Linked DNA regions of Danio rerio. The protein of the gene in region 3 interacts with the protein of the main gene of each other region in a pairwise test. Links are inferred from orthologs where the notes say so. Each region holds a gene or a part of one and is shown on either strand. Other genes may lie near its edges.

The links.
Region 1: the proteins of mettl17 (region 3) and cep70 interact in binary tests that used the Homo sapiens proteins (3 or more experiments, as listed by UniProt). The link is inferred for Danio rerio from reciprocal best matches to the Homo sapiens genes METTL17 and CEP70.
Region 2: the proteins of mettl17 (region 3) and sf3b4 interact in binary tests that used the Homo sapiens proteins (3 or more experiments, as listed by UniProt). The link is inferred for Danio rerio from reciprocal best matches to the Homo sapiens genes METTL17 and SF3B4.

Annotation. Positions count from the first base shown.
Region 1 is NC_133197.1:12,315,302-12,319,059, forward strand, and holds the start of cep70 (centrosomal protein of 70 kDa), read right to left. Parts: upstream 2,862-3,758; 5' UTR 2,757-2,861; intron 1,468-2,756; 5' UTR 1,454-1,467; coding exon of another isoform or gene 1,445-1,453; 5' UTR 1,249-1,444; coding exon 1,180-1,248; intron 1,080-1,179; coding exon 980-1,079; intron 698-979; coding exon 574-697; intron 1-573.
Region 2 is NC_133194.1:8,483,082-8,486,839, reverse strand, and holds the end of sf3b4 (splicing factor 3B subunit 4), read right to left. Parts: intron 1,088-3,758; coding exon 758-1,087; intron 476-757; coding exon 309-475; 3' UTR 162-308; downstream 1-161. UniProt on the Homo sapiens protein: Component of the 17S U2 SnRNP complex of the spliceosome, a large ribonucleoprotein complex that removes introns from transcribed pre-mRNAs.
Region 3 is NC_133177.1:40,850,611-40,854,268, forward strand, and holds the end of mettl17 (ribosome assembly protein METTL17, mitochondrial), read right to left. Parts: intron 3,427-3,658; coding exon 3,358-3,426; intron 3,247-3,357; coding exon 3,196-3,246; intron 3,076-3,195; coding exon 2,983-3,075; intron 1,054-2,982; coding exon 854-1,053; intron 712-853; coding exon 615-711; 3' UTR 514-614; downstream 1-513. UniProt on the Homo sapiens protein: Mitochondrial ribosome (mitoribosome) assembly factor. Binds at the interface of the head and body domains of the mitochondrial small ribosomal subunit (mt-SSU), occluding the mRNA channel and preventing compaction of the head domain towards the body.

The DNA.
Region 1 (3,758 bases), on a different chromosome or scaffold from region 3:
TTATTGTTTTTCATTAATCATTAAGTCAACTTTTACATTTACAAAAATTACATTATGTAATTATGCATCAACTATTTTTTAATTTATTGTTTGTGTGTACACAAACACACACACACACACACACACACACACACACACACACACACACACACACACACACACACACACCTTCATTTAGACAATAACGAAAATATAATTGTCAGATTTATTGACAATTATATTTATCAATACAATAAAAACAGTAATATTATAACAAAATAATGTGACTTTCACTTTTGTATTACAGTAATATAGTAACAAGAACTAAAGGAAATATTGATTTGTCATAATCTAAAATGTTATAAATCATTCTGTAAAACATTCTATTTTGGTGACAAAAATAAGATATTTGTATACAAGTAGTAAATACACACACACACACATATACTGATATTTGAATTTTTTTTTCTTAAAAAAACTATATTTATTACAAATAATTATAAAATTATTTCGAATTTATTTAACTTTTAAAACATATTTGGCCTCTAAGCAACACTAAAGGCATGTTACACTAATAATGAAAGCTAGACTCACTTTAACTGGCTGTTGGACTGAATGAGCTCTTGAATTAAACCTTGTCTCCTTTCAGAATCCGATAGCATCGTCTTCAACATCAAGCGGACATCAGAGGCAGACTTTCGCTCCAACAAAACCAACTCTACAAACACAAAACAAGTATCACCATTAGTTCTTTTTTTCAGTTATTGTCAATGACTAATATCTAAACTACTATAATTCTTATTGTATACTTGAAAGATATAATATTTGCGAACAGTTAAAAAAATAAAATAAATATAAAAAATAAACGCAAAAATTAGGACTAAAATCATATTAGAAATGTGTTAATAAATTTAATCCCATAATTTAACTTCAAACTTTAATAATCCAATAATTACATTTTTTTCATAGTTGCAGCAACAAATTATTAAAATGAGATAACCTGCAAGGTTCTTGTTTTCCTTTGGATCTGCAAAGCTGACAGGTTTAAACCCGTGATGCTGCAGCAACCTGTTTACAGCGTCCCATTCTCTCTGTTCTTCCTGCAAAAGCATGACATATGCAGCGTGCATTAACAACAATAATAAACTAATGCATGGAGAAACAACTGTAAAACTATCAGAATCTCCACTTTTGTGCTACCTGAAACTGGCTGTAGGTCCACAAAAACACATATGTTTTGTCCCTGGATTGCAAAGCTTGTCTATCCATGCTCGTCAGTGAAAATCACAAATGAATGATGAGCTATTGCACTATTTTAAGCATCTACTTGTATCTTCTACTTTTTGTCTGACTTGATCAGGGTCTGTCCACCCACAGCAGATGGAGGGAACAGACCCAGATCAGATTACTATCCCAAAGAACAATAAGAAACACCTCCACACGCTGGAAAGACAAAAGGGCTCACCTGCTCCATCCCGATCAGAAGCCCTGTAAGAGAAAACACATAGATGCTGAGTTTGCACTTTATTGAAATTGCACTTTACCATTTTAAAAGGACACTATATACTGTATAAATCCAATTTAACAATGTTTATATACTGTCCAACCTATATCATAACTGTCCTAATTTAAACTGTAATGTAGTAATATATTATAACTGAAACAATAATTATTGTGAAAAGCGATACACAGATAAACTTGAATTGAACCGAATTAATGTTTTTTTTTTTTTTTTTTTTTTTCCACTTTCGCCAATTGGTGCAGTTTTTTTTCCTCGCCGCTGACGCCACTAGCTTGCATGGTTTGGGATCTGTAGACCTGCGCATCGATGGATTGCTCTTCAGTGTTTGGACTAAGTAGTGATTATTAAAACACTGATCTGAGCTAAACTGAACTGAACTTAAACTTTGAAAACTGAAATACACCATTTCAATTTGCTATGATCTTTTATGTGAAGCTGTTTTGACACAATCCACATTGTAAAAGTGCTATTCAAATAAAGGTCACTTGAATTGAACTTAATAAAATGACATGTCATTGGCAGATTTTTATTTTTAAATGGAGATTTTTGTAAAACAGAAATAAAAAATGCATTTGAAGTGAACTGAAATTTGCTAGCAAGAATACTTTAGTTAGGTAGCATACTATTTATGTAATGTTTGTGACTTCCGAGCAAGGTATTGCGTGCTTATACCATCAAATACCTTTTTTGGTAGGAGTTTTGTATGTTGTTTAAGATTTTACAATAAGAAAAACTATGTGAATATATCTACTTTGACGATTCATCTGTAATTGAATGTAACACTTGCTATTTTGTGAGGTTTACGTGCATTTTCTGAATGAAAACATAAAACAGGGCAACGTTGTAAAACATACGTACACAATCTTTGTTTACTGTATAACTCTATAGATCTACGTCGACGTTTCATGTTTAATATAACTTGCTATTTTGCGAGATTTACACGCATTTTCTGAGTGAAAACATGGGCTAAGTTGTAAAACGTGTACACAATCTTTGGCTTATAACTCGATCTATAACTCACAATACTACCATGTTCACCAAGATAAAAACCCTAGTATAACATTCTTAGAAGTTAATATAATTTTAGGGGCCACAAAGTTAGCGAAACATTAATAAAAGGGGCTAAAACGTGACAGCACACGGTAGATACAACATACAAACACTGAAAACGCTACATGAAAAATAAGGTCTACAAACGCGGCTAATACATTTCGTTTACGTTAAGTGTTTTGAGCAGTATTATTCTAAATCATACCTTAAACCACAGACGAGCTAAATTGTAGCAATTAAATCTTCAATTTATCGTTTTATAAACAAGAAAACTCGAGTGTGTTTATTGATTCAAATAACAGCGGAAACTGACACCGACGAAGTGCTTCCTGGATTTAGACCAATGGGAGAACTGAATGAGCTAGCCACGCCTACAACGTAGTTTGCGCCACTGTACTGACGTTTCCCTCTTAAGAAAAAGTGGTGTTACAACAAATGTCCACCAGATGGATGCAAAGAATTAACTTTTGAATATGGGCTCCCTACCAGACTCTTATTATGTAAATACATTGTAAAATATTTATTATGAACAGTTGGCATTTTTAGTGCAACTAAATGTAATTACATATTAAAATGTACATAACTGGCAAACAAGACTTCAGCAGATATGTTCCACAATCTTTCAAAACATCCTTTCAGGTTAGTCATTTTGAACAGACAGCATTTACTAAGCCTCTAATCTCACTTCACAGATACTGCTCTTCAAAATTTACGGATTCTGTGGCATTTTGTGTTGCTCTTTTTGCTGCATGCTGTGTAAAGGGCAGCTCTCCGTATGAAGGTCAGCATGCAAATCTCAGCACCGTCTGCAAATAGAGAAAGAGAGAGAGAGACAGAACTTTTGGGAATCTTTTTGTTTAAACAGTTTGTGTCTGTAAAGCCAGTTTTCCTCACCCAGGTTTCCAGAAGCTGTATATGAGCAAATGGTGAGAAAACATCAACAGAACTTCCAAGCAGGTTTTATCACCAATATAGGTAAATATATAATTACTATTATATTATATAGGAAAATTACTGGACCAATGTTTCAATATGTTGCGTGTCAGTCTTGAAAATAAAAATAGGTGCTGGAAAAAGTGCTTAAAAGTCCTTGATTTTCATTAAGCGCCTGTATGAACCCTGTCATATGTACTTGCAACATATATTTCATAAGTGTATGAATGTGACAATGACATATAGCCTATATTTATGAGGTCCAAGCAACAAT
Region 2 (3,758 bases), on a different chromosome or scaffold from region 3:
ACCAGACCTCCAGGAACATGTTTAGTGATCCCTGTTCTAGGCTGATATGTCTAGGAACTATAATCCTATCCTTCTGATTCTATGTATTCATATTATAGCGATATTAATGTTTGATGATAGTAGAGAGTTTTTAAAAGTCCACTTAAAATACCACCACCATGTTATATAAAACTGTTTATTCTTGCTAATTCCGAAAAGGTACATTGACCAAAATTAAGAAATCTGTGTACAAAGAAGCAAGAGATCCATCTAATAGAGCGCAGACTGTAAAATAAAAACGAGACAAAGTTTGGTCTTCACATGGGGGTTTAGGAAGGTGCCGGTGCTCTCATCGGACCTCTGGGTGCAGGAGGACGAGGCGGCATGGGAGGCCCTCTCTGAAAACCAAAGGGTGGGGGTCTGGGTGGTCCCGCACCATAACCTGGAGGCGGCATTGGTGGAGGAGGACCCCTCATACCCGGATGCATTGGTGGACCTGTTAAAAGTAGATGAAGATTTGTATAAATCATTGCATAAATAAAAACACACACACATACACGTTTTATATATATATATATATATATATATATATATATATATATATATATATATATATATATATATATATAAACCATCATTATATTGTGATAATGATCATATAAAATACTGATATATTCATAATACTATGATTTATAATTTATAATTTAATATTATTTCATGATTTCAATACATACTAACACAACAAGTCAGTCTCCTTCACACACACACACATACATACCCATTGGGGGTCCAAAGGGTCCTCTGGGAGGGACACCCATGGGTGGAGGAGGCATTTGTGGTGGAGGCGGTGCTCTTGGTTGGTTAGATCCTGGTGGGCCAGGTGGGGGAGGCACCATTCCTGGAGGTCCCGTTGGAGGCATCGGCATATGCGGCATTCCTGGCGGATGCATTCCAGCAGGAGGGAAGGGCGGGTGTCCCGGTGGGGGTCCTCCACCGCCCTGTGGCGCAGGAGTACCTGGTGCTGGAGGCATGGGCATACCGGGAGGCATCCCAGGTGGCATTGTGCCAGGAGGAGGAACAGGTGGGAAAGCACCGGGAGGAGGCATTCCTGCAAGATTAACATGCAAAGAGTTGATGCAGAAAAAAAATAACAGTATGGTAACTTGAATCACCAGAAAAACATTTCTATTTTCTTTTAGGCTATAAAGTTTTACAGACTTATGACATTATTTTACACCTAATCCTAGGTTAGAATTATGACTAGAGACTTTAAATTAAAATAACTGATGTTTTCTACTACTGTATTGACATTCTAAATTGCGGAAGTGCGCCTGTTTTCGCGATTGTCTTAGAACTTCCATTTCAGTCGCCTATGGGAGAAATGACTAGGAATAATAAACGGCAGAAAATGGTCAAACTACTTGCTCTACAAACAAATGTTTGCATGACTATACAGACCAAGTAGAATAATATAACAGAGAAATATCAGTTTGCAACATCAAACAGCGAAACGAGCAGTTTTTAATGTCTAAAAATGAATGTAAGTGAATGAGACCGGAAGTCTCGTGCCAAAAAGATTCAAATGGCAGCGCCTGCTCGTCGGCTAAGAATAAGGTCAATACCTGTTTGTGTTTTATTTCATCAAAATGTGACGGGGGTATTTTTTTTAAGAGTTTTTGTAGAAAACATTAAATATTTATGTAAAATAAAAAATATAAATATTAAATATTGAAGTGAAATGACACATTTTAATACACCTCAAGTTAAATAGAAAGGATTTGATATTTAACTTGTTTTAAATAACCATGACCCATTTCATAAAACAAATCTTATTTTATTAGGGCTTTTATTAAGGTACATTTATGACTTTATGACCAAGTAAAGATTTATTTTTTAAAAGAACACATTGTGTCAAAATACTGGTCACGTGACTGAAAAGTGACAAGTTTGCACCCATGTTTTATGATTTTTATCTGCTCTGATTTAAGAAACTGTAAAAGGGTGAATGACTTTTAAAGACCTGCAGAAATTCTCTCAGTGATAATTAAAATGCCAGCATTTATTGATCAGGGTTTCCTCTCTTTCATGAAATGTGCATTATTTGTCATCGTTTTTGTACAAGATGTAAATGTAATATTTTTATATAAAGAATTTTCCATTTTAGTTCTGTTTTTGTCAGCAGGACAGTACAATTGCTACAATAACACCTTAAACTAACTTCATTTCAAATTTAAATCAAGCACTATTAAGGACCTGATTTGTTTTTGAGTACTCTACAAGCCTTAAATCCGTATGTCTAAAATCGAAGTACTTTCAAAAAGTGTAGGAACCCTGGCTGATGTCTTTGAACGTGAAAGTAAAGTTTAAACCTCTTTAACCAAATTAAAGAAAGGTTTTTTATAACGTAGGGATGTGCAATGGACCCTTTTCACAAGAACTGTTATGGCGCGTTTAACGATCATCAGCATCTTAAATTAAAGCTGTATATCATTTCAGCATAGATATCGCAATGTGCTCATATACAATAGTCAAATTGCAGGACCCTCAATGTACAGTCTGGATAATAAATTATGACTTATGTGTGTTTTTGAGGCCTGTGACTGAGGGTATTAAATATATTCAGACCTGAGAAACTGTACTGTTTCTAACTTTCTTTTTTATAGGATTATTTATAAAACAAAGACACACAGTATTTAACATTTGATTATTCAACTACTACTTAAATACCGTTAGACTCATCAGAAAACCATTCAATTTTATTTACATCTTATAGTATTGATCTTTGCTTGTAGATTACTAGTTGTATTTTAACAAAATATCACAACGTTACTGTAACAGAGGCCAGCTAGCTAAGTGCTAAGCAGGTAAACCTCTCCCTCCTCTGTCTTCTAAAGGTGCTCTAGTGAAAGACGCTAGAGGCCATGGTCTTTAGACTTCCTGTTGAAGCAACCAATTCCCATACTAAGAATCACCGTTTCGATCCCAGCTCAGACCAGGTCGGGTGCAGTAGAACTGGTGGATTACACTTGGGGGCTCGTCCAGGATGAGACTGAGGCTTAGGGGGGTGAGTGTAACAGAGGCCAGCTAGCGAAGTACTAAGCAGGTAAACCTCACTTCTCTAACCTCAAAAGGTGCTCTAACGACAAACGCTAGAGGCCATGGTCTTTAGCCTCCTTGTTAGAGCAATCGACTCCCATACAACAAATTGCCAGTCACAGCTCAGACCGGGTTGGGTGCAGAGGAACCGGTGGGTTACACTTGAGGGCTCGTCTGGAATGGGAGTGAGCAGTGAGGTTTAGGAGGGTGAGTGTAACGGAGGCCAGATAGCAAAGGGCTACGCAGGTAAACGTCACTCCTCTGACCTCAAAAGGTATTCTAGACACAGAAGCTAGAGGCCATGGTCTTTAGCCTCCCTGGTAGAGCAACCGGCTTCCATTACAAAGAATCGCCAGTTTGATCCCAGCTCAGAATGGAATAGGTGCAGTAGGAACTGTGGGTTACATTACATTTTTCCAATATCATACAGCCCTATCTTAAATCTTTTTATATATTTTTAATAGATTATTTAAAAACTATTAACATTTTTATGTATTTATGTATGTGCTACATCATCTTTGCATTAAATTACCACCTATGTGTGGCATTTGAAATGCAGCGTCTATAGGGCAGGACAGTAAATTTGATGTTGTTCTATTTTCTGTCTGTCGTTATCAGTCTCACATTATTTTCTTTTCTTTCTTGAAAGTCTTGATAACACCATAGTGAAGTTTTTCTTTTAC
Region 3 (3,658 bases):
ACTTCTTAGAAATTTCTTAGATTATTCATATTTTCTCGAACTTTTATCAATTTTCTAATATCTTATTTAGGTTTATACTGCACTTGAAAATGTAATGCTTAAAAATTTAAATATGAAATATGCTTAAAGTCCCAAAGAAATCAAAACCAACCATATGATTTTGTTAGCTCACATTGGCAGTTTTGTGGTGAACAATTCATCTGTGCATGACATTAAGAAAATAAAAATAGTTTGCCCTTCTAATCTTTAATTGAAATCTGAAACTACATTTTTTTTCAGTTAAATTGTCAGATTAGATATATATTAGGTATTGAGCGTGGCTAATATATTAAACCACACATCTCCAGCTCTCAGTTTTGACAACAAACTAAAATGGTGATCATCACAACACAAAAAAAAAAACACAGTTTGCAGCTTCTGGTTCATTGGGACTTTAAAAATAGCCTTTTAACCTCTGTTGGGATAACTTTTTAACATGAAAACAAAAATAACATGAAAACTGACATTTAGATATCATGTTGCATACAAGAACTATTTTATTTGCAAACAAGCAATACATTTATACAAAACAACCTCACTGCACACACGCTGCATGAACAGATTTCTCGCAGGTCTCATTCCGTCTCATCATTAATAGTGTGCTCATCTTCTTTATGAAAGACTGGCAGCAGATCTCCCCAGTCGCTGTTACGAGCACATCTGTACATGTCCCTGTTAAAATAGACAATACAAATTCCTTAAGCCAACTACCAGAATGAACTGCACCTGCATAACCTGTTAGAATCAATACAAGTCAAGGTCATTCACTGAAAATCTAAATAGCAGAGATCTATTATAGGAAAGCGTCCCATACTTTCCATGACGACGGGCCGTCACAGCCAGTTGTTTGAGTTCTCCATTTACGCAGCACAGCTGGCACTGAACGTGTCTGGGTCGGCGATGGACTTGTGCGATCACTCTAGCCATGTCCCAATGTTCAGCCTTCTGAGCCTTCTCTCCATCTGAACGGGATACAATCAGGTAACTAAACCTCTCCTGCTGCCTTTCCTGGCTCTGTGACAGTTGATTCATATAAAGGGATAAAGAAAAGAGGAATGTTATAAAGGCCTAGTTCTCCCAAAAATGTGTATTGATCTTTATGTGACACGAAAAATGTGTCCCATTCTCTCATGAATGCATTTACGTGGAACCTGGTTATGTTTAATAAGATATCAGTGTATCGCCAGGAGCCATAGGTATCGATGTAGTTTGGCCTATATACATTTTTTAATGTTTTGAAGTGAGATTTGGGACATTTGAAACCACATTGCTGGAAAAAGAGCTAGAGCCACTCTTAGACACATGTCAGTTTGCCTATAGGCAGAACAGGAGCACTGAGGATGCCGCTCTTAGCATTATTGTTCATCTTGTGTCCAAGCATCTTGAAAATACTAAAGCTTATGCTCATATTTTATTTGTTGATTTTAGTTCAGCATTTAATACAGTGCAGACACATCTGCTTTTAGAGAAGTCGCATTACATGGCTGTCAGTACTTTCTGAATTATATTGTTTAATTCTTTTTAAAGTAACAGTGCTCAGCAGGTCTGGGTCAATGGGATACTTTCTGAGGTTAGATATAGAAATACAGGAGTGCCACAAGGTTGTGTTTCATCGCCTGTCCTTTTTGCTTTGTACACAAATGATTGCAGAAGCACACATTTTATTATTTATATTATGAAATATGCTGATGATACTGCCATCCTAAGTCTTTTACACAAAGACATGGACCTTTCATACTACCACAGTGAAATCGCTAATTTCGTTCAGTGATGTGACAAGAACTGTCTTGTGTTAAATGTAAAAAAGACACAAGAAATGGTCCTTGACCAATGAAGTGTATCTGAACTTAGGCCTGTGATCATTAAAGACACAGTGATACAGCAAGTTACATCTTACAGATATCTGAGGTTCTATATGGACAGTGTTTTTTTGTTGGAGAACACACACTGACAGCTTGTGCACACAACTACAACAGAGGCTTTATTTTTTAAGAATGCTGATTGTATGGGGTAGGTAGCAATATCTTGTTTATTTTTTACCGAGCTATGTTTGAAAGTCTTATTTGCAATGGAATCACAGTCTGGTTTGGAAATCTTTCTGTTCGATTTAAAAATGAATTGGGTTATATTTAAAAAGCAGCCATGAAAATGATAGGAATGCAACAATATGAGCCCATACAGACTCTATATGATCAGGCGGTCATGAGAAGAGCAATAAATATTAGTGCTGATTCCAAACATCCTCTTTTCAGTGAATATCAGCTGCTATCTTCAGGAAAAAGACTGAGAATGCCAATGCGTAAAACCAATAGATTAACGCTTTCGTTTGTTCCTACCTCGATAAAACTCTACCAAGAACAGAGCACCTGTAGTACGTTAACTGTGTTCTGTGCTTTATATATTATATATTTATATATGGTCTTATTTTGTAAACAATGTATGTTCTTAATTGTTTTTGCTTAATTCTTTTGTTTGTTTTATTTTGTTGTCTGCTTAGAGCAACGTTGTAGCACCTTTTTCCTTTTTTTTGTTTAAACTCGATCCTATCCTATCCTACTTATTTTTTCATAAACTATCATCGTAAAGTGATAGTTCCCCCAAAAATTGTCATCATTTACTCATCTTTTACTTGCTCCAAAACTGTTTGATTAACCAGTGACTTGCATAGTGTTTGTTTCAATGATCAAATGATTCATTGAGTCAATGATTAAAGGCTTTCAGCGCTCTTCAAAATATCGTCATTTGTGTTCAACAGAAGAAAGAAACTCATTTATAACCATTTGAGGGGGAGTAAATGTTAAGTAAACTTTCATTTTTGGGTGAACTATCTCTTTAACTACTGTCTAAATACCTCAAATATGTCCATGCCATGATAACAACTGAACTGAAATTCAGTCATTCGAGGTGATTGTCACAATTCAGAAACTAAATTTGTGGACTTACCCGTGATAGAGGCAGAGAGTAGTAGAACTGGAAGAAGTTACAAGGTACCACAGGTTGCCTGATTAACTTAGGACACTTCAGCTCGTGCGTGCACTGTCCAAATTGAAACCATACAGATGACAATGTCAGCATAAAACATTTTAATATATCTTATTAAAGATGAAAAAATAAGAATAAACTTCAGAAATAAGTTATTTTGATGTTTTAACGCACAGGAGCAAATATAGATGGTCTCCTCGGGTCATGCAGTATCTCATCTTCTCTCTACAATAGAAAAATCAGACACGTTTAGGTACTTCTGAAGGATGCATAGGTTGTATTACTACTATTCAAATGGAAAGTCATGTTTTAACAACAAAAAAATATCAGTTTAACCTTTAGTATAGCATCTCTGGCCTCCATAAGGATTTGATGACCTTCCTTGGTTCCATTCTCCACCAACACCTGTACAAAATACCAAGAACTGCATTAAGAATGATAACAATTACAATAGTTTACACATCATTTAAGTAGAAAAGGGTTTTCCCCCCAGATTTCAATAAACAAATTATTTTAAATAGGTATTTTGCCATAGTATTTTTTTTAATACTAGTAAGCCATAGTAACTGCATATTAACCAAGGGATTGCTTTATGAACCATAGATTAGCCAAAGTATTTGCAATACAACTGTCGTTA